Oryzias latipes: one gene and its partners. The protein of the gene in region 1 interacts with the protein of each later gene in a pairwise test. Links are inferred from orthologs where the notes say so. Each region holds a gene or a part of one and is shown on either strand. Other genes may lie near its edges. The genes, in order: RNA-binding protein with multiple splicing, neu4, 5'-AMP-activated protein kinase subunit beta-2, tfg, nedd9 and rhobtb3.

Region 1 (4,239 bases):
TGAGGGGAGGTGGCATGAGGACCGTTGAGGCCGTTGTTTGGCATGAGAGTCACACAAACAACCAGACTGTTAAACTTTGGCTCATCATAAGGTTAGTTTATTGATACGTAGGTGCAGTAAAGCAGAAAGCTGTTAAGCATTTAGTGCCTGCAGTGAAACTGGAAGGGGGTTCTGCATTTTAATGTGTAAAATGAGGCCGTTTGAGAAAGCTCCACACCAGCTTAATGCCTGGATGAATCAAGGAGGGGGGGGAAAAGGCGCATTTACGTGTGCAGAACTGGGTTCGGCTTCACTTCCAAGCCCCCAACCTTGCCGCTACTCTTGCATGCAACACACATCATTACACCCAAGATAAAGTGGGGGCTGTCTAACCTTACGCTAATCCATTCAAGTGAATTTAAGTCCTCGCTCGTCTGGATGGCGTCCAAAATGCTTCCACATTAGATTCCTCTGGCCATTACTCTCCCCGTCTCTCTTACGAAAAAAAAAAAAAAGCAACTCGAGACAACTCACGTCCGGTGAGTCCGCTTGAGTACTACTTTTCCAGCCGGACGCAGGTCGAGAGAATCATTTTTCTACTCGCGTCAGGACTGTTGGGTCTCTTTGATGTCCAACGTCACAAAAACACTGCCGATTTAGCATAGGTTCAAAAGAGGAAATCTAACCTGAGAAAACCTCCATTTGAAAGAGGGAAAACATGAAACCTGGGCCCCTTTAGGATAAATCATTCAAGTACAGTTTTCTCTATTCCAACAGAAGCTCTAGACCCCCTTTGTTTTAGCAATCCAGAGGTTATCGGATGGGCCAAAACTAACTATCGATTGCTTAAGTCGTTTGTTAACCAAAAACACACAAACCTTTTTTGCCCCATTGATAAAAAGTGATCTTTATTACTATTTGTCCAGTAAAAAAAAAAGAACAACCCAGAGCTCTTCTAAATAAAAATACACTTTTTTTTAAAGGGTTTCGGGAACTCTTGAGGGTACAGAGACCTCTGTCACAAAAACACTAATGAATAGGTTCAAAAGGTGAAATCTAACCTGAGAAAAGCTACATAAGTAAGAGAAAAAACAAACTTGGAACACTTTGGGACAGATGACTCAATATTTTCCAACAGAAGCTCAGGACACCTCTTGTTTTTAGGTATTGGGAGGTTATCTTATTGACAAAAGCCAGGTATTGATTCATTAAGTAGTTTATTACCTAAAAACACACAAGCGTATCTTTGTCCCATTGATAAAAAGTAATCTTTATTACTATTTGTCCAGAAAGAAGAAAAAAAACCTGAGCTCTACCACATAAAAATGCATTTTTTTCAGGGTTTCGTTAACTCTATGGGGGTACACAGACTCCACAGTAACCAACAAAACACAGTCTTACATCAGTTCGAGTGTGTTGGGTTATTATCAGTCAGTGAGTAACATTCTGCTGAGTTTTAATCAAATTACTCCAAGAGAAATAATCTGATCTACCTTCCTCCCTTCCCTCGGGTGCAGAGGCGGGTTCTGAAACAACAAAGAGCTCGTGCAAATCGGTTCCAAAACCGAACCAAAAAGACGCGGATGGACTCGAACCAAGGTCAAGAAACCGAGCGTTTATCTTCTGACAAATACACGTTAGTGTGTTGTGTTTAGATCCAGATGCGGGACGAGGCTCCTGTTGTTTGACTGTGAGGTAGGATTACATAGAGTCATTGCCTACATGTTGCAGCATTAGTTGTTTGAACTTCAATGCCTTGCTCATCTTCAGTGAGAACTAAGTCTCCCTGACTGCATGGCTTTTCAGTAAACTGTAGCCCACAACCTGCCTTCAAATTAAGAAACAGTCATGTTTTAATGAGTAAAGCAATTATTGCATTAAAGAAGGGGCCGATCTCAAAATGAAATGCATTTTTTTTAACATTTTCACCCATAAACCAATTTTCTTTGGTCACAAAAACCTGTTTTCACCCAAATTGCAGTTAAAACTGAACCAGGACGAAACTTTCGTTTATAAAATTTTACATTATAACTAAAAAAAAAGCTGTTTTTCATGAAAAAAAAAATCCACTTTATAGAGGGAAAATGGGTATAAACGTACATTTATTGATTGAAAAACGTTATGTTTCAGCCCAATAACAAAAGAGAAATAAAAAAAAAATAAAAAAAAGGTTAAAAAAAAAAAAGAAAATATAAGGGAATGACTGACATCTAACTTTAATGAAACCATAAGGATGTTAAGGTCAAACATCTGGATGTGACAACTTTTAGTAGGATAAACTCGACTCTAATTGACTCGGGTTCACCTTAACAGGTAGAACGCGGGTGGCCGGGAAGGCTAAAGCGGCTACACCGCCTAACAAGTAGTTCTGGCGTCTGATTTAAGGTGGAACCGCGTACCTCCTCTTCGTGGTTGGTGAATTCAGTCGTCTCGTTCTCCTTCTCGGTTTTGTTGTTGTTCATCCTGAGCCGCACTCGTGTCGCTCTCGCTCGGGACGGTCGTCTTCTGGTCTCGGTCTCTCCTCCTCGGCTCCTTCGTTGGATTCGACAGGACAGGCAGTCCGCGCGCGCGCCCGCTGTCCCACTGACCCGAGCTTCCTTCACTTTTAGTTTTGCCACATGAATCCCACTAAATGCCACCCCCCGTTCCTTCCTTCTTCCTGCCTGCCTCGTGTCTTTACCACTCAAAGCGGGGTGAGGTGAGCCTGCGGGCGGGTATTCCTCAGCATTCCCTGGAAACCAGAAGCCCCTGTCTCCTCAACAGTCAATGCTCGCTGGACCGAGCCGCAGGCAAACTTCTCTCCCCATCTCCGCGCGCGCGAGGGAGGGGTTTAGGGTGGGGTAAGGAGTGGGATGCGCCGCAGCCCGATCAAGATTTATCAAGTAGCCTCGTGGAGGGAGAGCTTCAGTGGAAAATCAGTATCAGTCAACTTTAGGACCAGCTGCGTGTTATTTTAGTCCCGGCAACATTCCTGAGATAGTCTTTCAATGTGCTGGCTTATTTATTTTATCAGGGACAATAGGTTGAGTTTCTTTTTTTTGTTGTTGTTGCTCCAAAGAAATGTATGAAATATTTCTACATTATCAATAAAGAAATTTTCAATTTTAGAATAATTGTGTCAACCGTGTAAAGCTTGTCGTCCTGGTTATCTTGTTCGATTATTATTTTCAGATAATCAGTATTATGCTATACATTTTTGAGAATTTTAAAAATTCAAATCGTTGTGAATCAGGAGATGAAGATCGTATTTGTGATGTCAGAAATACGCTGGGTGGGCGGCTCCGTTCTGACGCATCCCTTGTAGACGACTAAATCCATGTACGTCTTGGTATGGTTGTATAGCTGTAACACTGCTTGCCATTTTTCTTGCACTGCTAATGTCAGGTTGGGGGTGTGAGGGGCTTGTAAGGTAGTGGGAGAGAGTGTAAACAGAGAGCTCTCAACAACGGGGAGGGTAAGGGGGAGCGGGGTTGCTCCATGCCAGCAGTCCCGCCCACATGTCAGAGGGGAATTTCTAATGAACTACTGCCGCTTTGCAGAAACTATGACCAAGAAACCAACACAGGTTTTTTGGTTTTGGAAAACGGTACAATCATAATTAAAAGACCACTGGAAACGCTTTAAAAAGAGCTCAAAAGATGAGCGGATGGGTCTTTCAACCCTTTAACATCGGAGATTTCGCTGGCAACAGCTGAACAACACACGCCCTTTGATAAGGGCGAATCCCAATTCTTCCCCTACCCCTACGGCTTCTCCCTACCCTTCCAATTGTAGGGGCTTTTGGAGGGATAGGGTTGTCCGAAATAGTTTTTTAATGGCTAACCCATGGCTGCGGAGGGATGTCGAGCCCTAAGTAATGACTTTTTCCTTTAGCCTGACGTTTTACATGTTGTTAGGTATTTCCGAGCACCAGCTGCTCCGTGCTAACGTAGCTGACCAGCGACTGTTCATGATGTTATTGAATGGGAGTAACGTCCGAATTTGAAGGCATTATGTTTCTATAACTCTCCGTCTGGGGGACTAAATGTAGGGGTAGGGGAAGAATCTGGATTTGGCCTAACTCTATGATCGTTTACCAAACCAATGGGAATCAGCTAAATCTGACATGGAGAAAAACAGCTTTTCTTTTGGGCTTTGCACAAACATGCAACACATTATAGTAAAACGGCGCAAAGCCAATTTTCTTTGTTTAAGAATTCGCTTGAATTACGTTATTTAACGATGAAAGAGTTACAGTTGCCAATACTTTTGGTAGTAATA
Region 2 (4,222 bases), on another chromosome or scaffold:
GATAAAAAGCATAATGTCTCAGAAGCTTAAAGTTGCTAAAAATTCACTGACTAGTGGCAACCAAGAAAGCACCAAGAAACTTTAGATAATTGAAAAATATGAGCATTAAAAACCCCAACTACAAATGTTCTTAAGAAAAAGCAGCATTAAAATGGGCGTATACTAAAAAAAGCTTATGAAAGTTACAATCTAATATTTAATTTGCTGGAAAAAAATCACATACCCAGATGCACCTGAGGAGAGAATACATTGTTTTTAAAATGCTATTAATCAAAAGATACTTCGTCTGGATGTCATACATTTCAAACTGTGCTTAGGAAGAAGAACACATCTCGAGCAGCTTGCTCTTCTTCCTCCTCTTCTTCACGTGCGGCCTCGGCTGCACAGCAGGTGTCCTTTGGGTTTGCTGTTTACAGCTCCCGCTGGTCTGTCTGCAGTCATCCTCCCTGGGCTGTACATCCACGGGCAGATTGTCGATGAGCTCATAGAGGGTGAAAATGCTGAAGCAGATTTCATCGTAGGGGGTTTTGGTGCCGCACTCAAAGAGGCAGGCGAAGGCCACGGCGGGCACAGCTCCAGGTGAGGCTGACAGCTCCAGGTAGGCCAGATCAGAGTACGCGCTGGGACCCTCATAGATCACCCAGGGGCCACGCCAGCTGTCTGGATCACGTGGAAACAGGCTAAGGAACAGACCCAGATCCTGGCGGGCGGTGGTCAGTGTTGGATGGGAATACACCACCCAGGTAGGATTTAGGAAATCTGGATTAGGATGGTGTAGGTGCATGTTGCTAGTGTGGGATGTCCAGTGTCTGGAGACAAGACGCTTTGAGCAATTCTTCAGACTTTTGGATAAATGTAACGGGGCAGGAAATCCAACAATGCTACCATGACAACCATTTCGAGGCTCCACCAGTCGGGGCACCAGCTGCCCTGACTGGAACACAGCTCCGTCATCCAGACTGAGGGCTTGTACCCTGTATCCCAGAGGGCTTCGTGCGTTGCAGTACAACACGTTGGAGCCGTCTTCTTCATCCACAGACACCATCTGGCACTCCACGCTCTCTGGAGCTGGAATGGCTTCTCCAAAGCGCCAGCTCCTGCCGTGCGTGTCACTGTGGAAGCAGAAGGAGCGAGGAGTGGTCTGACAGAGGCGCCCCAAACACTCTTTGCACTCGATGTGATAGGCATAGGCAGGAATTAGCAGACGGCCCGACTTCAGCTGTAGGCCGTGACCCGGGCCCAGAGCAAACGTGGCCCAATCTGCTGGGAAGAAGGAGAGGAATGGGACTATGAAAAAACAGTTATAGCATGTATCATTTTCAGAACACAGCTAGCATTTTTCCCTAATTCCTATTTAATTGTTGGCAATTTGATAAAGATTTCCTCTTTTCCCATAGGAGCTCTACAAAGTGTGGTTTTTAACTAAAGATTGTTGTTTTTCTGTGCTTTAACAATATAAAGGTGGTTTCTATGCAAAAAGAGATCAGAAATGCAAATATCTTTTGGAGATAAATTAATGACTGAGTATCTTGGCCACTCTGATACACACAGAGGTGTATCATGTATCATGAGGTGTATCAAGTTTTTGGGGCTTTCAGAAGTTTTTTTTTTTTTTTGTCTGACTTCGTTTTCATTTGAAGTCCAGAGGAGAAATAAACATCTTAGGCTTCATTTGTGCTGTTTTTTTCTTCATCTCAAAAAGACTATCCAGATTAAAAATCTGTTCAAAGTGGACATGTTTAGACCTTTAATGGTGTCTCCTATGACTGTCTTGGTCAAGTCGGTGACTGGACTCCAGGTGTCCCCCCCATCGGTGCTGGAGATGTAGCAGAGCCGGGTCACGTTCTTCCCCGTCACCAGCTGGTAGGACTCTGACGTGTGGCCGAGAACAGCGATGAAGAAGAGGAAGAGCGTTCCCGTGAAGTCATCGAACACTGGACACGGGTTCATGGACCTGTGGCCTGGAAGGTAGGCAGTGCCCAGAACACTGATGTTGCCCCACTGCCACAAAAATCAGTTAAGAGACAAGGGCAGAAAAAAGTATACGTAAAAGAAATGAACTGATAAAAAACTAAATATGATAATAGACAAATTGTGTTGCAAATATTACTTTTATATAACTGTGTTATATTACTAAAATTTCCTAGTTGAATCTTCTGGAGTCTTCAGTGAATGCCAGTTGTCTGACTCTTTCCTAGGTTCTTCATTTTTGTCTTGCATAAGAAGATTGGTGTTTACACTTGTGTAATTATTGTCTTATTTTAGATATCAAATCTTACTCTATAATCTGTAAATACACCATCATCCTGCAAAAACAATTGTTGCCTCTTATAATTTGTTTTTTAATGTATTTTTGGACATCACTGTGTTCTCCAAACTGATGCTTTTTGTTGTTTTAAACACAATATGGACATAAATCTAAATAAAAAAGAGAAAGGTTTGTTCTGGCTTTTGCACTGTGTGTGTTTTATCCTTTAACTTATCAGAGTGCTGACAAAAATTATATTTGGAGCAGTGCAATGTCAACACAAGCAGAATTTAAAGCAAAACTTTGTGTTTCTGACCGTTAAAAATCACCGCACTCCATCCTATCACAGACCTCCACATAGTTTCTGTAGAAAGTGCCTTTCCTCACAACAAGCAGGTGAGCCTGGGAGTCAGACGGGCTGAGTCTCTCCTCACAGAAGGCCAGGAATGTTCTGTTGCGGGGCACGTAGATCAGAGCTGGGACTCTATACGTCACTCCATTGGACTCTTTTCGGAAAAGCACTGATCTCGCTGGGAAATAAGGCGACCTCATGCTCCAGCAGGACTGTGTGACACTTCCTCAAAGCAAACCCGGAGATTTTCTGCAAAAACGTAAAAATCAGAACCAGCTTTCATTGAAAAATATAGCATGTACATGGGGTGGTGCAAAATACAGAATTAGGAAAAACAATAATTGCCTCAGTAGAAATTATTGCTTTTCTCAATTTTTGATTGGCTTTTATGTGGAATGATAAACATGAATATATTCCACACACGAACAAACATACATTATTAGAAAATGTATCAACTGTGAACAAACCCCAAAAATAAGAATTTATTTCATGATTTCAAAGGTAAACTTGATGAAACAATCCTGAAGAAAAGTCAGGTGACAGAAAAGGTTTTGTTTCTTACTGTCTAAGCTGTCAAGTTTACTTTAGATCCCATTAAAGGAATGAATTAAAAATGAAATGGTAGCACGGGCATTTGTGTAATTAAACGTAGCTTAACCTTTAAAGTACATACTTTATAAGACTAAATGTATCTTGATTGTAGCAACAAAGACTTAACTGGCTGAGTTTTAAATTGTGAGACAATCTCTTCTCTTAAGAGTAAAAATGACATTTATCTGCACATTTTCTCACAATTTTTTAAATTAATGTCCAGGGCACAATGGGGAAGTAGATATGAGTCCTTACCTTTCCAAAGTTCAGAAAGAGCTGCAGCTACTTTGTGTTGGTACAGAGAGTGTTGGGTTTTGGGGATGACAGTGCAGTGAGTTTGTGTATTCCACAGAGGATCTGAAAGCCATGGTCTGTTCTCTCTGTTCACCGCAGCAGCACGGCATGCTGCTCACTGACCCAGAAATGAACACTCATCAGATCTACAGCTTTGGATGAATCAGCGGACAGTGGTCATTGTGGAAAAGATGGCAGAGTGGGAGGGGTCAATCTGAACAAAGAAGTTATGATCTGCCCTCTATGTATTCTCTCTCTGCTTCCCTTTGTCTTCTCATTGCACAGCGCCTGGGAAATAAATAGGTGCTTCTTTCGGTTCAAAGCTCTTCACTGCTAAACTTCCCTTCAAAATGTATCAAAGGTCTATTGAAACTGTTCAACAGTTAGTCTGTATATGTACGTTCTCATATTAGCACCAGTACTGTTCCATATCGTGACTGAAATGTAGAACATTTACGGTATTTATGCATAGAACACAAAAACATAGTGCATTAAAAATTAAGTAAAAACAGAAAAAAGCTTTCAAACAAAGTGTCAAAAATCTTCTTTAGACTCACATGCAAACAATAAATATAAAAAATAGATCACATTGATTCATCAAGGTTCTCTGTCTCTACATGTGAGTTTATCAACATAAGTGTCCAATGCCAGCCATTGTGCATAAATGTTATTGATGCCATTTAAATTTTCCTTTTGCATAAAAATATCAAACTTCAAGAATCCTGCACTGAACTTTT
Region 3 (4,175 bases), on another chromosome or scaffold:
ACAATTTCACTAATGCTTGTGCTTTTTAAGTTGATGCTAGATTAAGGTAAGTTTGAAGCAGAAGTTGTTTAATGAATATTTGCATGAATAAGGGGTAAAAAAAAACAATTAAAAATGAAATTATAAAACATACAGAACCATCCTGTCCAATCTGTTTTAGATGGGTTAGTTGACAAGTTTTGACCAATGCCAAGCTTAAAATCTGTTCTTACTGACTTATACTCCAAGAAAACATTTCCTATTGCTTCAACCATGTTACTTCATATTCAGTTAAGATGACTTGTTGCCAGCAAATTAGCTTGTTAACGCTTTCAGTTAATCCTTTAGGTTTTGATGTTGACTGCAACCCAGAAACCAGCAGAGCTCAAACTTTTTTCCACAAAAACTACAAGCACAGAAAAATGACTCGGGTACCTCTGAAGGATCATGAACCCACTGTCCATCCACGAAAAACTTATACTGGTGCTCTCCTTCAGGCAGGTCCAAAATGGCAACAAAGTCATTATGGCTTTGAGGAGGGAAAGAAAAAGCAAACAATATTAAAACGATGACAAAACTTCAAAACACATTCGACACCAGTATAACTGATGTAAAACCAACGGTTTACCTTTTATTCAGTGGAATCTTAGTGTTCCAGTTATTGAAAGAGCCTGCGATATAAACCTCCTTCCCCCCACCACCCCAGCGAATCACTGTGGGACGGGCCTGGGAGGCAGTTTTCACCAGGTCATCCAGATCCGGGGTGAATTCTTTATCTCCTAGCCCCTAACAGCAAACATAAATATTTATAATATGAAAGAAATGAGATTATATAGTGAAGTAGTTGGATTCCTACTTTAGACTCAGGTCCATAGGTGTTGAAGATGTTGGGATCATCTGTGCTGTCCACCATCTTGGTGCTGTGCTCCTGGTCTTTGTGGCTGCCGCTGCTGTCGGAACGATGGGCCTTGTTTCCATGCCGATCTCCAGATACCCTGTCACTTGTGTTACCCATGATGCTTCACTGCTTACTGTGCAAAATATAGGGGGGAGAAACTCTTGAAGTGGGAACTAAACCATTATTTATAACACTTTTATGACAAATGTTCATTCATGTTTGCATTGAGGATATTTATTATTCATATTTATCAGATGCTTTCTATTATTTTCTGCTTTCATAGAGGATTTTTGTCGTCTTTTCAAACAGTTTACAATGTAAGTCTTTTCTGAAAAACTTGTTTTTCACTGAGCAGATTAATGCCAAAAAACAAACTTGAAACTATTCTGTAAACACAGTTTCACTCGGTTTCTTAAGGGCATGTAAATGCATCTGGTGACAGTTTTTCCTCTCCTTATTTTTCCTTTTTCAGTTATTAATTTGAACCAAGTAAAGAGCCAGACTGACTTCAACTCCCTTGCTAAAAAAAAAGTGAACTCTGTAAAGATGATCTGATTTAAGCGAACTCTAGGATAACTTTTGTTTCATATTACTAAGAAATTACAAGAAAGTAATGTTAGGCAAAAATTGCTTAAGTACCAAAGTAAGCTTTTTAAAAAATATTGTATCATAAAACATTGATAAGATTGGTTTAAGTTAACGACATGCAACTATTCTATAATAATCATAGTAAAATGTACTTTTTACTAAAAACCTAAAAGAGAATACAACTTCTAATTGAATTTTGATCACATGATGGTGCTTGTTTTCACAAGCATCACCTTTTACGTCCCCACAGAGACACTGATCCCCCCTCCCCCTACATAGAAATGAGCAGTATAAACCTTTCACACTATAATCAAGTCCATCACTTCAAATTAGTTTACAAGCTAAGATGTCTTAATTTTAAAGGATAAAATAGTAGGAGGTTTCAGTGAACAACATAGATAAACGATCAAATTAAAAAAGAAAAAACTAAAAGCTCAGGGCACAAAAGCTTCTATTTACTACAAAGGCGCAGGTGTTTGCTGAACACTGTAGACTGGTGGGTTCACCGTGACACTGCTGGATTCATGGAACACTGATCAGCCTTGGCTTTAGTCAACAAACAGCAAATCCTATTTCGCTTTATGTCACATTGTGTGACATTCACATATGTCACACTCTGGTTTTACAGAAAATAAACTAAAATTGTGTTACTCGTGAGAGTTAAAGTTATAGCTATAAAAAACATCAAATCATCAGTTGTGATTGTTGTTTTTTTCTTCTTAGAACTAAGGATGATCCAGAGTCATATTTAAAAATAAATCAATCAAAAAACAAAACAGCCTAATGATGTGGAAAACAACGATACGTTTATCTTTAGATTATAAAGAAAATAAAAATATTCACAACAGCTAACCTACCCACGTTTAGAAGGTATTTTTAGCATCATGAACTATCAGTGAACTTCCCTGGACACAGATGGGTCCCTTCGAAAATCTGCTTTAACTACAACCGAATGACTTGCGAATCAATAAAAAGCTTAGTTCGTATGACAAAACACACTATTTGTAACCTACCGTGGTAACTGCGCAGGACGCTTTTGCTGTGCCCGCCTACCTCGCGACTGTCCTGGTGAATATTTTTAGCTGCTGGTCGCTGTTAAAGTCAGCTAGCAGCTAGCTAGCTGTCACTCTGCTTTCGAACCGGGAACTCCTTTCACTGTGTAAATAACAACTAAAACAATTTAACTAATTTGATAGAGTACTTGTTGTTGTTTTTAGTCATTTAAAAGAACCGAAAAGGGTTAGAAGCTCGGCCTATCGCTGCTGAGGCGATGATTTGTGTTGAAGAGCAGCAGGAAAGTCTGTGACACCAGCGAAGATCCTCCCCTTTTTACAACTACGGCGGTCGGTAAAGGAAAAAAAGCAGTCAGCCGCGACAAAAACAACATCCGGTAAACAAACAAACAAAAAAAAAAACATTTTTATGAAATTTTACAAATACTTAAATAAATGTAATTAATTCTTTATTTGGTGTCGTGTCTCTTCTTAATAGTGGTTGTAGTAAAATTATCCAAATAATGTACAATTTAGTCAATGTAATTTTTTTTTACAAATAAAATGAAATGAAATTAAAAGACATTTTTATACTATAAAATGTAACATATAGATGTATCAAGTATACTATTTATTTAATAAAAAAAAGATTTACCCTAATTTGCATAAAAAAATACAAATTATTGTGTTACTTAAGTCATTTAATGACGTTAATGCAATGAGCATAAGTGTTTCTCATTCATTTTAATATGTATTGTTGTCTATGTGTACTCTCGATTCAAAGTGATTAATTATTTAGGGGGGTTGTAATTACTTAATTTAATACACTGTATTTTAGGTAAAACAGCTGAGTTGACATCCCTGGCATTTTTCATTCTATCATAGCTTTTTTTCCATCAAGGTAAACAAAATGATTTAAATGACATTGTGGAAATGATAAGGTGTGATTCCCCCCCCCCTCCCCAGCAATTTGTTACTACAATATCAGCTCACCTATCACATCACAACTGCTTTGGTTGCGGGTGTTTATAAAATGTTTTAAAAAGTTTAAGTTACAACATTAACTGAGAAATTGAATTTTGTTTATTTTTTAGTGAGCGTATTTCTGTCCAGGGCTGTACTGTGGCGGTGAGTGCTCTTAGTTCACAGCGAGAAGGTCCTTGTCCAAATACCAGCTGGGACCTTTCTGTGTGGGTTTTCTCCAGGCACCCTGGCTTCATGCTAAAGTCCGAAAATATGCTTTATAGGTTAATTGGTGAGTCTAAAGTGTCCCTTAGTGTAGCTATGAGTGTGTGGCTCCATTACCGACTGGCAACCAGTCCAGGGTGTACCCCACCTTCGCCCAACAGCTGGGACAGGCTCTGGGGACTCTGTGACCCCGAAAGGGATACAGCAGGTTAAGAACATCAATGGATTTATGTCCAAACACTTTTATTCTGTCACTCATTTTTAAATTTTAACGAAAGACCATATTTCTGATGTTCATTTTTGATATTCATGAATTTATTTGCCTAAATTTTTTACATGCTTTAATATAAAAGAAAAAAAATTGATACATGACAGTATTATCCCCTGATATGTTTTTCATGATGCTATTTTCTTACTTTTATTTTTTAAAAGCCTCCTTTCCTTAAAAGACCAGACAGCCCTGATTGGTCAACATTTGCTGTAAAGCAGTTACTAATTGAGGCGTTTTCAACCTGATTCATATGGGCGAA
Region 4 (3,500 bases), on another chromosome or scaffold:
TTTTCAAGATATTCCAAGATTTTCCAGGATTTTCCAAGATTTTTTCTTCATTTAAATACATGGAGAATCCTTGAAAACCTTTGTTGCTTTCAAGCATTACAACTTTAACATGCTTTCAGCTAGAGGCACCGTTCAGACATTGAAATGCTCACAAGGCTTTGGACTTCAACATACGTTTTGAAATTATTATGGGATGGCAACACAACCTACTGTTTGGTGGGCATTTTTTGACAAAATCTGAAGCAAATGTTGCAATAAATTTCATCCATGGCTGGAACTGAACATATTGAAATTCACTGGATCTGGACATATAAGGAATGTGGGCGTGGTTAGCAAACAAACCTCGTTGCTAAGGACGTCCAAAAATTTACTTTTTCCGATTCATCTGAAACCGACGTTGATTTGTTCCTCATCTCCAGGCGACCCAAACATAAAATGGTTGCTATGGAGATAAAATCAATAGAAAAGCCGCCATTTTGAAAAAAGTGGATTTTCTATCAACTTATAACATGTAGCTTTTACCAATATAATACTCTCAAACAATGTGTTTTTTGGATTCAGTTGATGATGCTGATTCCAATGCTAGTACTTTTAGCCATTTTAGCAACATCTTCAAATTTTCAACAATTCAGCCATTTTTTCAACAATTTCAGCTTTCATGCTTAAGTCCTACAAATTTTGACCTATTTCAGCCATTCTACTATTACAATGTTCAACTTTTTCAGCTTATTCCTGCTAGGACTTTTGCACCTTTAACTTTTCATGGTTCTTCCAGTACAGTTCAGTTATTTCTTCAGCTAATTCAGCTTTCATTCAGCAGTACAGCATTCAACCCTGCATTTTCTTCTGGAAATGCAGCTCCTTCTAGTTTATGATTATTTTAATGTTTTGTGATCTATATAGCCTTTTTTAATGAATTGGTATTTTAAATTATTTTAATTAATCACTCCACTACAAAAACCATCAGGACACATGTCCCATAATGCATTGTTTTGTAGTCTGTAGGGCAGCTTTCAGTCAGTTCAGTTTTCAGCTGTGTCCGGGTAGGTTTGCCCCTTGCTCCCACCCCTTTCTCGCAATATTTTGTGATGATTGACAGTTGATGTTGGAGCAAAAACAAAAATATATGTCACACACCAGGTGATCTGCGCAGCGTTGAGTTCACCTGGGTGATCTCAAACACACTTATTGTGCATCTTGGCTGTACCTATTTGGTGTCACAAAGATGCTGCTGTCAGTTTACCTTCTTGTTGCATCTTCAAAAGAATGCAGAATAAAATGTGACACTGAATTTGAAACAGCACATTGTAATTTCTGCATCTATTATTAAAGTATTTATTAGTAATACAGTGGAAATTAGTAGATTTGGTTAGAATGTTGATTTACGGTATGCGCCCCTACATTTTCTGGTTGTGCCCCTAAAATTTTCAGTTAGGGGCCACTGTGCTCCTAGTGAAAAAAGTTAGTCTGGAGCCCTGACTAATTATAAGCCAAAGTTACAACACACTAAATACATGTTGCTATGCGAGAAGCACTGAACTCTGTGCAGGTTTTTAGCTGTTCACGTCATTTGGCATCAGAGTTTAGAATTGCATTGCTTCTTCAGATACTAATGCCAGTTTAACCCTGAAGATGGCTCAGGTATTTTTTACTGCATTGACCCTTTAACACTGGAGATGTTGCAGGCAGCATCTAAATAACAAACAAGTTAATCCAAATGGATTCTGTAGCAGAAAAAAGCGGCTTTGCGCCGATATGCTACACTTTATAAACAACACTTTATGAAGTAATGCATAACAGCCCAAAGCTGTTTTTATCTACAACAGAATCAGACGATTTATTTTGATTGTGTAAACACTTCACTGCTATAAAGTATTGCTAATCAGCACAAGTAGAGCTGTGACGGTGTCGAATTTTTCATCACCGCGGTGATGAACCACCAGGGGGCGCGGTGTCGCGGTTAACTGCTCCGCCTTTGTTTATACAGAAACGTCTGCAAAAAATAGTTCCCAAACAAAACATGTGGTGATTTTCATGGAAATCTAACAGTGCGCGTTCTTGTTTGGTGTTACGGATTGAAGGAGGACAGTTACACCCCCCCCAAACACAGAATCCTCCGGTGGGCGGCCGTGTCGCGCACTTAGGAACGCACGCAGCTTGTAATGGAAATGAATACAATGAAAATTAATAATTAGAAAGCAGTAAATTTATCGTATTTCCTCACGAGACGGAAACTTCTGGTGTAAAATAAGGATGTGTGCTTCTGAAATTGCGCGCCTGTTTGGGTAAACGGAGCCGCGTGCCACCTGCAGCGCGAAGGCAGACACTGAGAGCACGCGCGGTGGGAGAAAAGGAGACAACAGTCTGAAAGAAAGAAAGAAAGTCTGAACACAGGACTAGCATAAAAAGGAAATTATCAGCAAAGATGAATGTGTTTATTATAGTTCCAAACGCACCATATGCAAAACGTAAAAAAAAAAAAAAAGTGCGGTGATGCGGTGATGAGGTCATCACCGCGGTGATGAGGTCATCACCGCGGTGATGCGGTGATGCGGTTATTGTCACAGCCCTAAGCACAAGTCCACTTTCCTTTTCTTTAGAAATGGGTTAATTGTGTTGAAGAGTAGCCGAGAGAATGTAACCTGGAGCTAAAGCCCTGGTGTTACTGGGTTAAGCAGGTTTAGGTTGCACCAGCTCACCATCCATCCCAGAAGGCGGTCCCTGCTGTACTCCAGCATAGGCAGGCTGTGGCTGGGGGGGGACTCCCGGCTGAGGTGCAGCAGATGAGGATGAGGCGATGCTGTCAGGGGTTGCAGAGCGCTCCTCTGGTGCAACAGCAGGGGGAGCTGTGGGTGACAGGTGAACAGCAGAACATGATCGCTGTAGCCTGTGCGTTTGTGCATTTGTGATGGTGAAGCTCCCAGTACCTGGAGCCTGGTCCTCACTCAGGCCGAAAGCAGAGATGACATTCTTGCTGACCTCATCTTGGTTTTTCAATGGGTCAAAGGCCGACATGCTGGCTGCACTGACGGGGGGGCCTTTCACTGAGGGGTCGGCCGCCATGACTTTACCTTCACGCCCATCTACTGACTCTACAAACAAGACAAATGGGACACAAACAGATCAAAAAAACTGCAGTAAAGACTTCCAAAATGTTCAATGGGTTACCATCAAACAATTCATTAGACTTCTGAGATGCAAAGGAGTAAAAGTAAACATTTTGATAAAAGTAAAACCAACTCAAAAGGCCAAATACAATGACTTTAACCCCAAACTAAAACTATTCTTCTCTGACTGGCTCCAGCATGTGGGTGTGACCGTTTCATCAATTTTACTGCTGAAATGAAGGCTCAAACAAGCATGACATTCTCATTCTAATTGGCATCACCGACTGTAAATGAGAGCTGGACTGAGCAACCCCTCCCCCCGGCATTCTAAACAGGAAGTACCGAGTGGGTACAAGAAGCCAAAATCCCATAATTTCTGTATAGAAATTAACA
Region 5 (4,293 bases), on another chromosome or scaffold:
CCCTGCACCCCCCTCACACTCCACCCCACAAAACGACTGTTTTCTCATGTTAATAAGGGCGTCTCATTTGAGGACACAAAGTGTGTGTGTGACTTGGGGGGGGGGTTCACTGTCGGCCTGAGAGAAGTTCCCACAAAAAACCTGCACAGGGGTAAAAGTGGACAAGAGCGTCCTGCAGCACAAGACGCCACTTCACAGCGGGAGTGGAGGTGGGGGGGTCATGACTTTTGGCAGAGACACAAATTATGTGCTAAACTTGACAGGGGGGGGGGGGAGGCGTTAGCCTCATGCTTTCACTGTTTGCACTTTTTGAGGAAAAGTATGCTCGCTTCCTGTAAACACACACACACACCACTGCATTTGCCCTCTCATTTCCCCATAACTTCCGCTCTTTTTCATTTTCTACAAGCCTTTCTGCTTCACAGCTCCTCCTCCTCCTCCTCCTCTTCTTCTTCTTTGCTCTCATAACAATGCTACCCCCACCTCCCCTGGACCTCACTGCTTTGCAGTAAACCACGGGCGGTGCACCCGCTGACTGCTATAGCCTTAAATTCCTGCCTGGGGTCCAACCGAAAGGCATCTGAAGCAATGTCTGAGCGGAACCTCTTGATGGTGTTGAGACCTCAGGTAACCGTGGCAACAAGAACCACCACTCTGCAGCCCTTCAGCACAGTTTTACAGATGCAGGATAGAAGTGGAGGAGAAACACTTTCGTGTCTGCACTCCTTTTTCCTTTCTGCTGAATGTCACTGGCTGCTCAATCCTCATTGTTTACATGTCGCTGTAGCCCCTTGCCACCTCCTTTTGGCTCAGCTGACTGTCAATCACACTGTCTGAGTCGGATTATTGAGATTTAAAGGAAGATTTGGATTAGATTCTTTAAGGAAGAAAGGTTTGGGCTTTCAGCGATGGACCACCTTTGGTCATGTGACTGGTCAGTTTGTTTGGGGCTCATTTAAAGTCAGTTTTAGCTCAGAATCATCGTCATCTTGGCTGGGTACGAAGAGCGAGCAGGACAAATGAGTTAGTTGTTGGAGCACGCTTAGTAAGATTCCAAAATCTCCTGGGAATCAAAAAGGAACACCCCATGTTTTGCCCGAATACTATCTCAAATTTAATGGACAGTGCCCCAAGTGGTGACCTGGTGAACTGACATGGCTCCAGTTTTTAAAGAACACGAGCACGAGTGGCAGCTCAAATGTTATGACTCGAACCAAACTGAACTTTTCTAGAAAAAAAACGGAGAACATCCGTGGAGAAACTTCTTGAAGGAAACAAGCTTTTTTTCCCCCTGGTTCATATTAAAGACACTTCCTGAAAACATGCTGGGGTAAACTTTAGAAAGCTTCTCAGATGTTCATTAACTGGGTTAGTAAAAGGTCACCTCCCGCCCCCTTTAGACTGAGCGTGCTCTGTTGCTCTGAGTCGGTGGGAACAGAACAAATGTGATCCGTGTCAGAGCAGTGAGACAGATCTGTTTCCAGGCTCTCACAGAAGCTCCTCTCAGCCCTTTCAGTGTTTTTCTTTCCTTGGATCATGTTTCTGCCTCTGCTCTGCGTGTGCGAACTCATCCGGGGGATTAGACGCATCATTGTGCAGTGCGTACGGCTCCTGGCCGCACCTGAACACCTGCTGGAAACAGTCTGACATCAGCTACGTGCCGCCGGAGCCCAGCTCGCTGTAAATAACTGACAGACGCAGTAAACCCTGCCACAGCCAGGAACTCGATCGTCTTGCTGTGACGTGACCCTGGTCCTCAGAAGGGCTACTTCAAAGCTCCAGCCACCCTCCACTCCCAAAAGGGATGTAGTAAACATAGGTAGACGTGTTTATTAATAAGCAGAATCCGTATGTAGAAGGGAGGGAAACCAGGGTGTCAAAGTACTCCCTGGAGACACCATTGTGGGTCACAGACAGTTGCTTACTGTTTATCTAAATGCAACCATGGAGACCAGGGCCTCTTTGTTGATGATGACTCAGTGAAGGCCTCAATCACAGCACTGACTAAAAAACTGAGCGTGATATTGTCCAATCAGTGACACCTGCCTGTCACAGCAATAACGCCAGATTATACACGAATGTCACAGCCATCAAAACCACCATCCTTTTTCCACACGTTCTATTAATATATATTATTGAGATGATGAATGTGGTGGATTCATTGAAGGATGCAACTTTTACATTTTTCTGAACACATCTTGAATAAATATTGATAATATGGAGAGAAATAGCAGAACAATTGACAATAACTTGATGTCCCCAAAGTATTTTTTTGCTTATGTTTTCTACAATTTAGAGTTTATGTAGGAGTTGATCATCTTCTTTACTTTTTTCCCCCCAAATAAAAAAGTTGGTAGATTTCAGGGGGGCTCAGTGGCATGGGGCGCAGAGGGGACCGCCGTGTTCTTGTAGACGCCCCTGCGCATCTTTCAAGATGAAGTTAACCGGATTCTGTACAGCTGAACCTCTGCCTCTGTTAAAAGACGTCCCCCACGCAGCCTCAGTCCGGATCAGCACTTTGAACAAGTTCCTGAGTTAAAATAAGTTCTAAACAGAACGTCGCTGACGGTAAAAAGAAGCCAATCCCGCCACTTACTTTATATTTCATCCCGCCGTGCGTGTCTGAAAATCAGGGGAAAAGTGACGGAAATCCTCCTGGACGCGACACAGGACCACTCATCTGAAGAACTGCCGATCCAGAGAAGGTTCCGTTTGGATTAACGATCCATCCGGCATCGGAGACAGAAGAACAACTCTTCCGAGAGTCTGTCCACCGACGTCTGAGCCGCTTCAGCAGACAGCAGCGGCTCTGCACCGCTCACCCCCAAAGCACGTCGTTGATTGGTCAGAAACCCACCACGGCCCCGCCCCCGCAAATCCCGTCCTCAGATCCGTGACGTCATTGCATGGATTTAAAAAAGTAAAAGCCGACTCACTCATGTAAGGAGGGTGACGGAGTCAAATCTGTCGTTCAGGGTGAAAGAGGGTAATGTGGTGAACCCTGGACGGGTCACTAGTACACCACCAGACATTAGTTTAGCACTAAGAAAACCCACACATGCGCAGAGAAACCACTCCACGCACGCTCAACTCGTAACAGGTCTAAGGTAAAAGTGCAAACAGCACCCTAAAGCAGCTGACGTCCCAATAAGGAGTCATCAGTCCGAATCATGATATATATGAATAATATTAATGAATAAATATTTTAAAATTTAAAAAATAGCTTTATAGTTACTCAAATTATTTTTTTAGTCCAGTTAATATTTTTAAATTCCCTCCAACACATTAGATACTTCTTACAAAACTGCATTAGTCAGTTGAAAATAATATCTTGCTATCTCTACAGGCTACATTATCCCATTTACTTATTCATCCTATTTGTAGTTCTTGAGAAGACCTGAGACTATGGAAGTTGACCTGTCTAAAGTCAATTTATAAAAAATCGTAAACATTTTTAACACAATATTTAATAAAATATTGGCCCCTTTAGAAAAATTTTGTTACCCACAATGGATGGGAAGTGACATCTTTCAAACCTAGAACCAAACAATACTATCTGGAGCCAGGTCAATTCAACAGGTAACCACTAGAGGGCGCGTTCACATCCTGTGGTCTCCAGTCCAGAAATAAAGTATTCAACCCAAAACAAATTTGTCAAACTCTCAAATCCAGAAAAGTAAAAACAACATTTGTGAAAAACTGATTTAAACAATAAAGTGGCATTCATTTGTGAGATGTACTTAGAACATGGACAAACACATTTTCAGGCTAAACTGGACAAAACAAAATCGGCATTTTTTTGATATTTTTGTTCTTTAGGAACATAAAACGTTTAGCTCATGAATCTCCAGTAAAGATAAACAGTCCCAAAACCCAAACCTGAGTTCAAATTCAAAAAATAAAACCATGCAGGGATGTTTTAGTCTTTGTTGACCTACAGGATTTAAATAGACAGGAATAGATCCAAACCTTCTTTCAGGACCCAAGAAAAACATAAACACATTATTACTTCAGTGAGGGGTGAAAAAATAAAGAATTAAAATGTGTGTGTGTGTATAAAAACGCCCCTCTCAGTCTCCGCGGGTGGTTTCTCCTCCAAGCTCGGGTCCTCTACCAGAGGCCTGGGAGCTTGAGGGTCCTGCGCAGTATCTTAGCTGTTCCTAGCACTGCGCTTTTCTGGACAAAGAGGTCTGAGGTCTTTCCAGGTATCTGTTGTAGCCACTCCTCCAGCTTGGGGGTTTACTGCCACATCCACCACAACGGCTTTCCTCTGTTCTTTGTCCACCACTACAA
Region 6 (3,500 bases), on another chromosome or scaffold:
GGGGTAAAAGAGGCTGACTGCTCACCAAGGTCTGCATTAGAAAAATGAATTATGGGAAAAAATGTAAAGTTGACTGCAGCACTGAGAGGATTTTGAAGCAAAGCTCAAGGCTTTAGGACAGATTCATAAGAAGTGGACAGCTGCTGGAGTTTGTGCTTTGAGAGCCATCACATGTTGACACATCCGAATGACTTCTGCTGCAACGTTTTTTGTGTCAAGCCACTCTGAACAGGGAAAAAACGTCGGACTAGGGCTAAGGGCAAAGAGAAAACATTTTCTGAGTGATCCAAAGTCACCTCTACATATGAAAAGAGATTTTGCATTTCTTTTTATTAGAGTCAAAAATGAGTCTCAGACTGTTAAATTCCTTGAGTGTTTCCCTGTTGGTGGGGAGCCATGTCCTCCATTGTGCTTCATCAGGTTCAATTTAAGTGCAGTGGTTTAACAGGAAGTCTAAGAGCACATCTGCTTCCTTCTACTGACAAGCTTTATGTAAATAGTTGTAGCTGGATGAGGTAGTTGACTATTCTGCTTAAATTCCAACTTCTGTGATCAGCCATTAGAGCCCTGTCAAATCTATGCTGAAAGGAAAGAAGCCACAGTAGATCCAGAGACTTGGGGACTTGGACTTAAGACTCAAACTTAAGTCTAGCACACAGGGACTTGTGATTGATGTTTATTATAATTTTTCAGCTTTAAGAAATTTCATTTTTCATTTATTTATTTGTTCCTTTCATGAAAATTATCGATCGTCCAATATGTTTACATGTTTGTCTTACAATATTGAACATTTTCATGATTTAAAAGGAGCACAGTTGAAGAATACAATTCTTATAATTGTCTGCTCCCTTTTAGCCCTTGTGCTATCTTAGATGACCCCACCCTTACATTGATGTGTTATTCCTACAATGACAAATGTGGATAAAGGTGGAAAGATTTCATGTAATCCTTGGACACCAGTGAAGATCACAAATCATTGAAGAAAAAAGGTTCAGCGCACTGTCTAGTAGGTCTAGATGACCCAACTCCCAATGTTAAAGTGCCTAGGATAGCACAAGGGTTACACATTTCATTGTATTTACATTTCTTACACCATCACTTGTGGTCAGATTTCCAAATAAAAGTGGTTTATTGACTATTTGTTCTGATGAAATATTCATTTTACTGGTTTTAAGACTTGAATTGAATTAACAGCTGAAGATTTGACTTGAACTTGCAGAAAGGAACTTGTGAGCATCTCTGGAGAGACCCAACAACCCAAAAGAGCTGAAGGCTTCTGTCAGATCAGCCGTGACATCTATAAAACCTCAGTGGGGATGCAGATGAATCCCTTCCATACCGTACAATTCTTACATTTTCTAACTAACTCTAAAGTATTTAATAATTTGAGGTACAGAATTTTTAAATATGGCTATAATCTTCAAAACTAAAGGAAGTAGACACCTTAAATGTCCCTCTGTGTGAATGAATCATAGTGACCTTTACCTTTTGACTATAAATAATTTCTTGATGGGATTCTAATGTACTGAGATGACTTGATACCTTTGAGGTTTCAGGTGTCTCTCTCTCTCTCTCTATATATATATGAAGCGGCCAACTTAACATTCAGAGTTGGGCAACACTAAATTGATGTGTCTGACAAGGCTTTTGGCACCATGCACGGCATACAAACCAACAGGCTGGAACAAAACACCTGAGGCTGTTTTGAGTCAGTCTGATGCACAGGGCTGCAGGAGCTTTTTTTAATGTGATGAGACACCATAACATCCTGTTTGATGTGCGCTTCTACGGACACCTCTGTGTCGTTTGATACCATTTGAATGTTTTCTATTAATTTGCAAAAATCAAAGGTCTGGATTTTGTTGCCATGCCGATGGAAGGGTTTTTCTGTGTCTAATGGAACTGCGAAAGGTTGTGCTAATTATTTCAAGTCAACAAAACCTTGTCTGACAGTACAGGTGGTGTGTTTTTTATTTTACATTCATTAAAGTGTATCAGCTGAGCGTGGCTGCTTTGACAACAGGTGGGTTGGAGGACCGTCTGTTTCCCCACGCTGTTCTCAGCGTTAGCCAGTTCCAGGCGTGTCGCTTCTGGCATTGGAGTTTGAGAGTGTTGGGTAATGCTAAGCCACACTGACAGAGAGGCTATCTGTATTCCGTGTGAGAGGCGAGTTAGTTGCTCCAAATAGCAGGTTTTTTTCCCCCCTGTTAACAAGTACCTGACTTTCATCAGAGGAATGCTAACACCCTGATTTATTTGATTTCCTGCTGTAGAGCTCCAGGGACACGCCAAGTGCACGAGCAGCTCAGCTCGGTCCTCAGACTCTGGTCAACCTCTTCAATTCTCCTCTCTATTCGGACGTCATTTTCATGGTGCAAGGTGGGGGCAGACTGATCACCAAGACACACTTCTGTTCAGATTCCCACCGCACAGGAGAGTCACAGTTTTTTCACTTTTAGTTACATTTTAATGTTAGTTTCTGCTCTGTCATTTCAAGAGGCAAAAAACCATCAGTGTGATGTCCTTTTTTTAATTTTGATTCCCCTCATGTTTTAGGATGGCCGCCGCTCCTCTACTCCTCCAAAATAAAAAATGCATTGAAACCTCACCTCATAAACATTTATCATGAAAAGTGCAGAGAGCTTTTCCTCTCTATTCCAAAGTGCTAGTAGAACCGCTGAGAAGTCATTGAGAAATACCTATTTAATGTTTCATAAAAGATCATTTCTGTTTTATTTCATGTGGAATTTTGAAAAGGTTAAATAAGTGCTGCAACTGCCAAACACACATCAAGACCCAAATGAAATGCATTTAATCTGTATTTATGTTCAAGACTTCATCAATAAGAATCGCGTTTTAATTTAGAGTTTGGACTTGGCTGTCACAAGCAAAAGCCCACCGAAAGAAATGACAGAGATGCCCGTTTCAGATCTGAAGAGGTTTTCTTTTGAGGAGTACACATTCACTATGAGCTGATGTATAGTTTGAATATTCTAAATCTAAACTAATAAATTGCCAGGTGTTCCTTTATTGTTGTAATTTCTTTCATTATCAAATAGGTAGCGTGTTGCCGGCTCACCGGGCCGTCCTAGTTGCCCGCTGTGACGTCATGGCGGCCATGTTCAGTGGGAAGTATGCAGAGGCTCGGAGCAGAGTGGTTCCCATCCATGGCGTCTCCTCTGACACCTTCCTATCTTTCCTTGAGTACCTCTACACTGATTCCTGCTGTCCTGGTGAGTTTCCTCCAATTCTAGATGAACTTTCAGAGAAGCGGACAGAGGGGAGTAAAAGAAGGACAGAACATTTCCTGATTACTTCAGTCTGTAAATGGGAAAAGTCCCATTGCATGGTGTAAAAAGATGTTCACATAAGTGCATAGGTGCAGTGGACTTCAGCGTTTGTGTTATGGGTCGAAGCCTCTGACAAAAGCACATATGATGAGTCCCTTCAGCTTTCATACCACTGTCAGTCTCACAGAACTGCAACAAATCTTAGAAACA

Evidence for each region.
Region 2: the proteins of RNA-binding protein with multiple splicing (region 1) and neu4 interact in a two-hybrid assay, tested with the Homo sapiens proteins (2 studies listed by BioGRID and IntAct). The two-hybrid records come from large-scale screens. The link is inferred for Oryzias latipes from reciprocal best matches to the Homo sapiens genes RBPMS and NEU4.
Region 3: the proteins of RNA-binding protein with multiple splicing (region 1) and 5'-AMP-activated protein kinase subunit beta-2 interact in binary tests that used the Homo sapiens proteins (3 or more experiments, as listed by UniProt). The link is inferred for Oryzias latipes from reciprocal best matches to the Homo sapiens genes RBPMS and PRKAB2.
Region 4: the proteins of RNA-binding protein with multiple splicing (region 1) and tfg interact in binary tests that used the Homo sapiens proteins (3 or more experiments, as listed by UniProt). The two-hybrid records come from large-scale screens. The link is inferred for Oryzias latipes from reciprocal best matches to the Homo sapiens genes RBPMS and TFG.
Region 5: the proteins of RNA-binding protein with multiple splicing (region 1) and nedd9 interact in binary tests that used the Homo sapiens proteins (3 or more experiments, as listed by UniProt). The two-hybrid records come from large-scale screens. The link is inferred for Oryzias latipes from reciprocal best matches to the Homo sapiens genes RBPMS and NEDD9.
Region 6: the proteins of RNA-binding protein with multiple splicing (region 1) and rhobtb3 interact in binary tests that used the Homo sapiens proteins (3 or more experiments, as listed by UniProt). The two-hybrid records come from large-scale screens. The link is inferred for Oryzias latipes from reciprocal best matches to the Homo sapiens genes RBPMS and RHOBTB3.

What each region holds. Positions count from the first base shown.
Region 1 is NC_019876.2:8,063,078-8,067,316, reverse strand, and holds the start of RNA-binding protein with multiple splicing, read right to left. Parts: upstream 2,801-4,239; 5' UTR 2,442-2,800; coding exon 2,379-2,441; intron 1-2,378.
Region 2 is NC_019871.2:13,922,634-13,926,855, reverse strand, and holds neu4 (sialidase-4), read right to left. Parts: upstream 2,801-4,222; coding exon 2,600-2,800; intron 2,002-2,599; coding exon 1,746-2,001; intron 1,261-1,745; coding exon 314-1,260; downstream 1-313. UniProt on the Homo sapiens protein: Exo-alpha-sialidase that catalyzes the hydrolytic cleavage of the terminal sialic acid (N-acetylneuraminic acid, Neu5Ac) of a glycan moiety in the catabolism of glycolipids, glycoproteins and oligosacharides.
Region 3 is NC_019875.2:22,987,785-22,991,959, forward strand, and holds the start of 5'-AMP-activated protein kinase subunit beta-2, read right to left. Parts: upstream 2,801-4,175; 5' UTR 2,479-2,800; intron 1,011-2,478; 5' UTR 995-1,010; coding exon 836-994; intron 766-835; coding exon 608-765; intron 509-607; coding exon 415-508; intron 1-414. UniProt on the Homo sapiens protein: Non-catalytic subunit of AMP-activated protein kinase (AMPK), an energy sensor protein kinase that plays a key role in regulating cellular energy metabolism.
Region 4 is NC_019879.2:8,948,540-8,952,039, forward strand, and holds part of tfg (protein TFG), read right to left. Parts: intron 3,093-3,500; coding exon 2,928-3,092; intron 2,847-2,927; coding exon 2,700-2,846; intron 1-2,699. UniProt on the Homo sapiens protein: Plays a role in the normal dynamic function of the endoplasmic reticulum (ER) and its associated microtubules. Required for secretory cargo traffic from the endoplasmic reticulum to the Golgi apparatus.
Region 5 is NC_019869.2:19,404,888-19,409,180, forward strand, and holds the start of nedd9 (enhancer of filamentation 1), read right to left. Parts: upstream 2,801-4,293; 5' UTR 2,609-2,800; coding exon 2,597-2,608; intron 1-2,596. UniProt on the Homo sapiens protein: Scaffolding protein which plays a central coordinating role for tyrosine-kinase-based signaling related to cell adhesion. As a focal adhesion protein, plays a role in embryonic fibroblast migration.
Region 6 is NC_019863.2:17,211,193-17,214,692, reverse strand, and holds part of rhobtb3 (rho-related BTB domain-containing protein 3), read left to right. Parts: intron 1-2,273; coding exon 2,274-2,379; intron 2,380-3,059; coding exon 3,060-3,233; intron 3,234-3,500. UniProt on the Homo sapiens protein: Rab9-regulated ATPase required for endosome to Golgi transport. Involved in transport vesicle docking at the Golgi complex, possibly by participating in release M6PRBP1/TIP47 from vesicles to permit their efficient docking and fusion at the Golgi.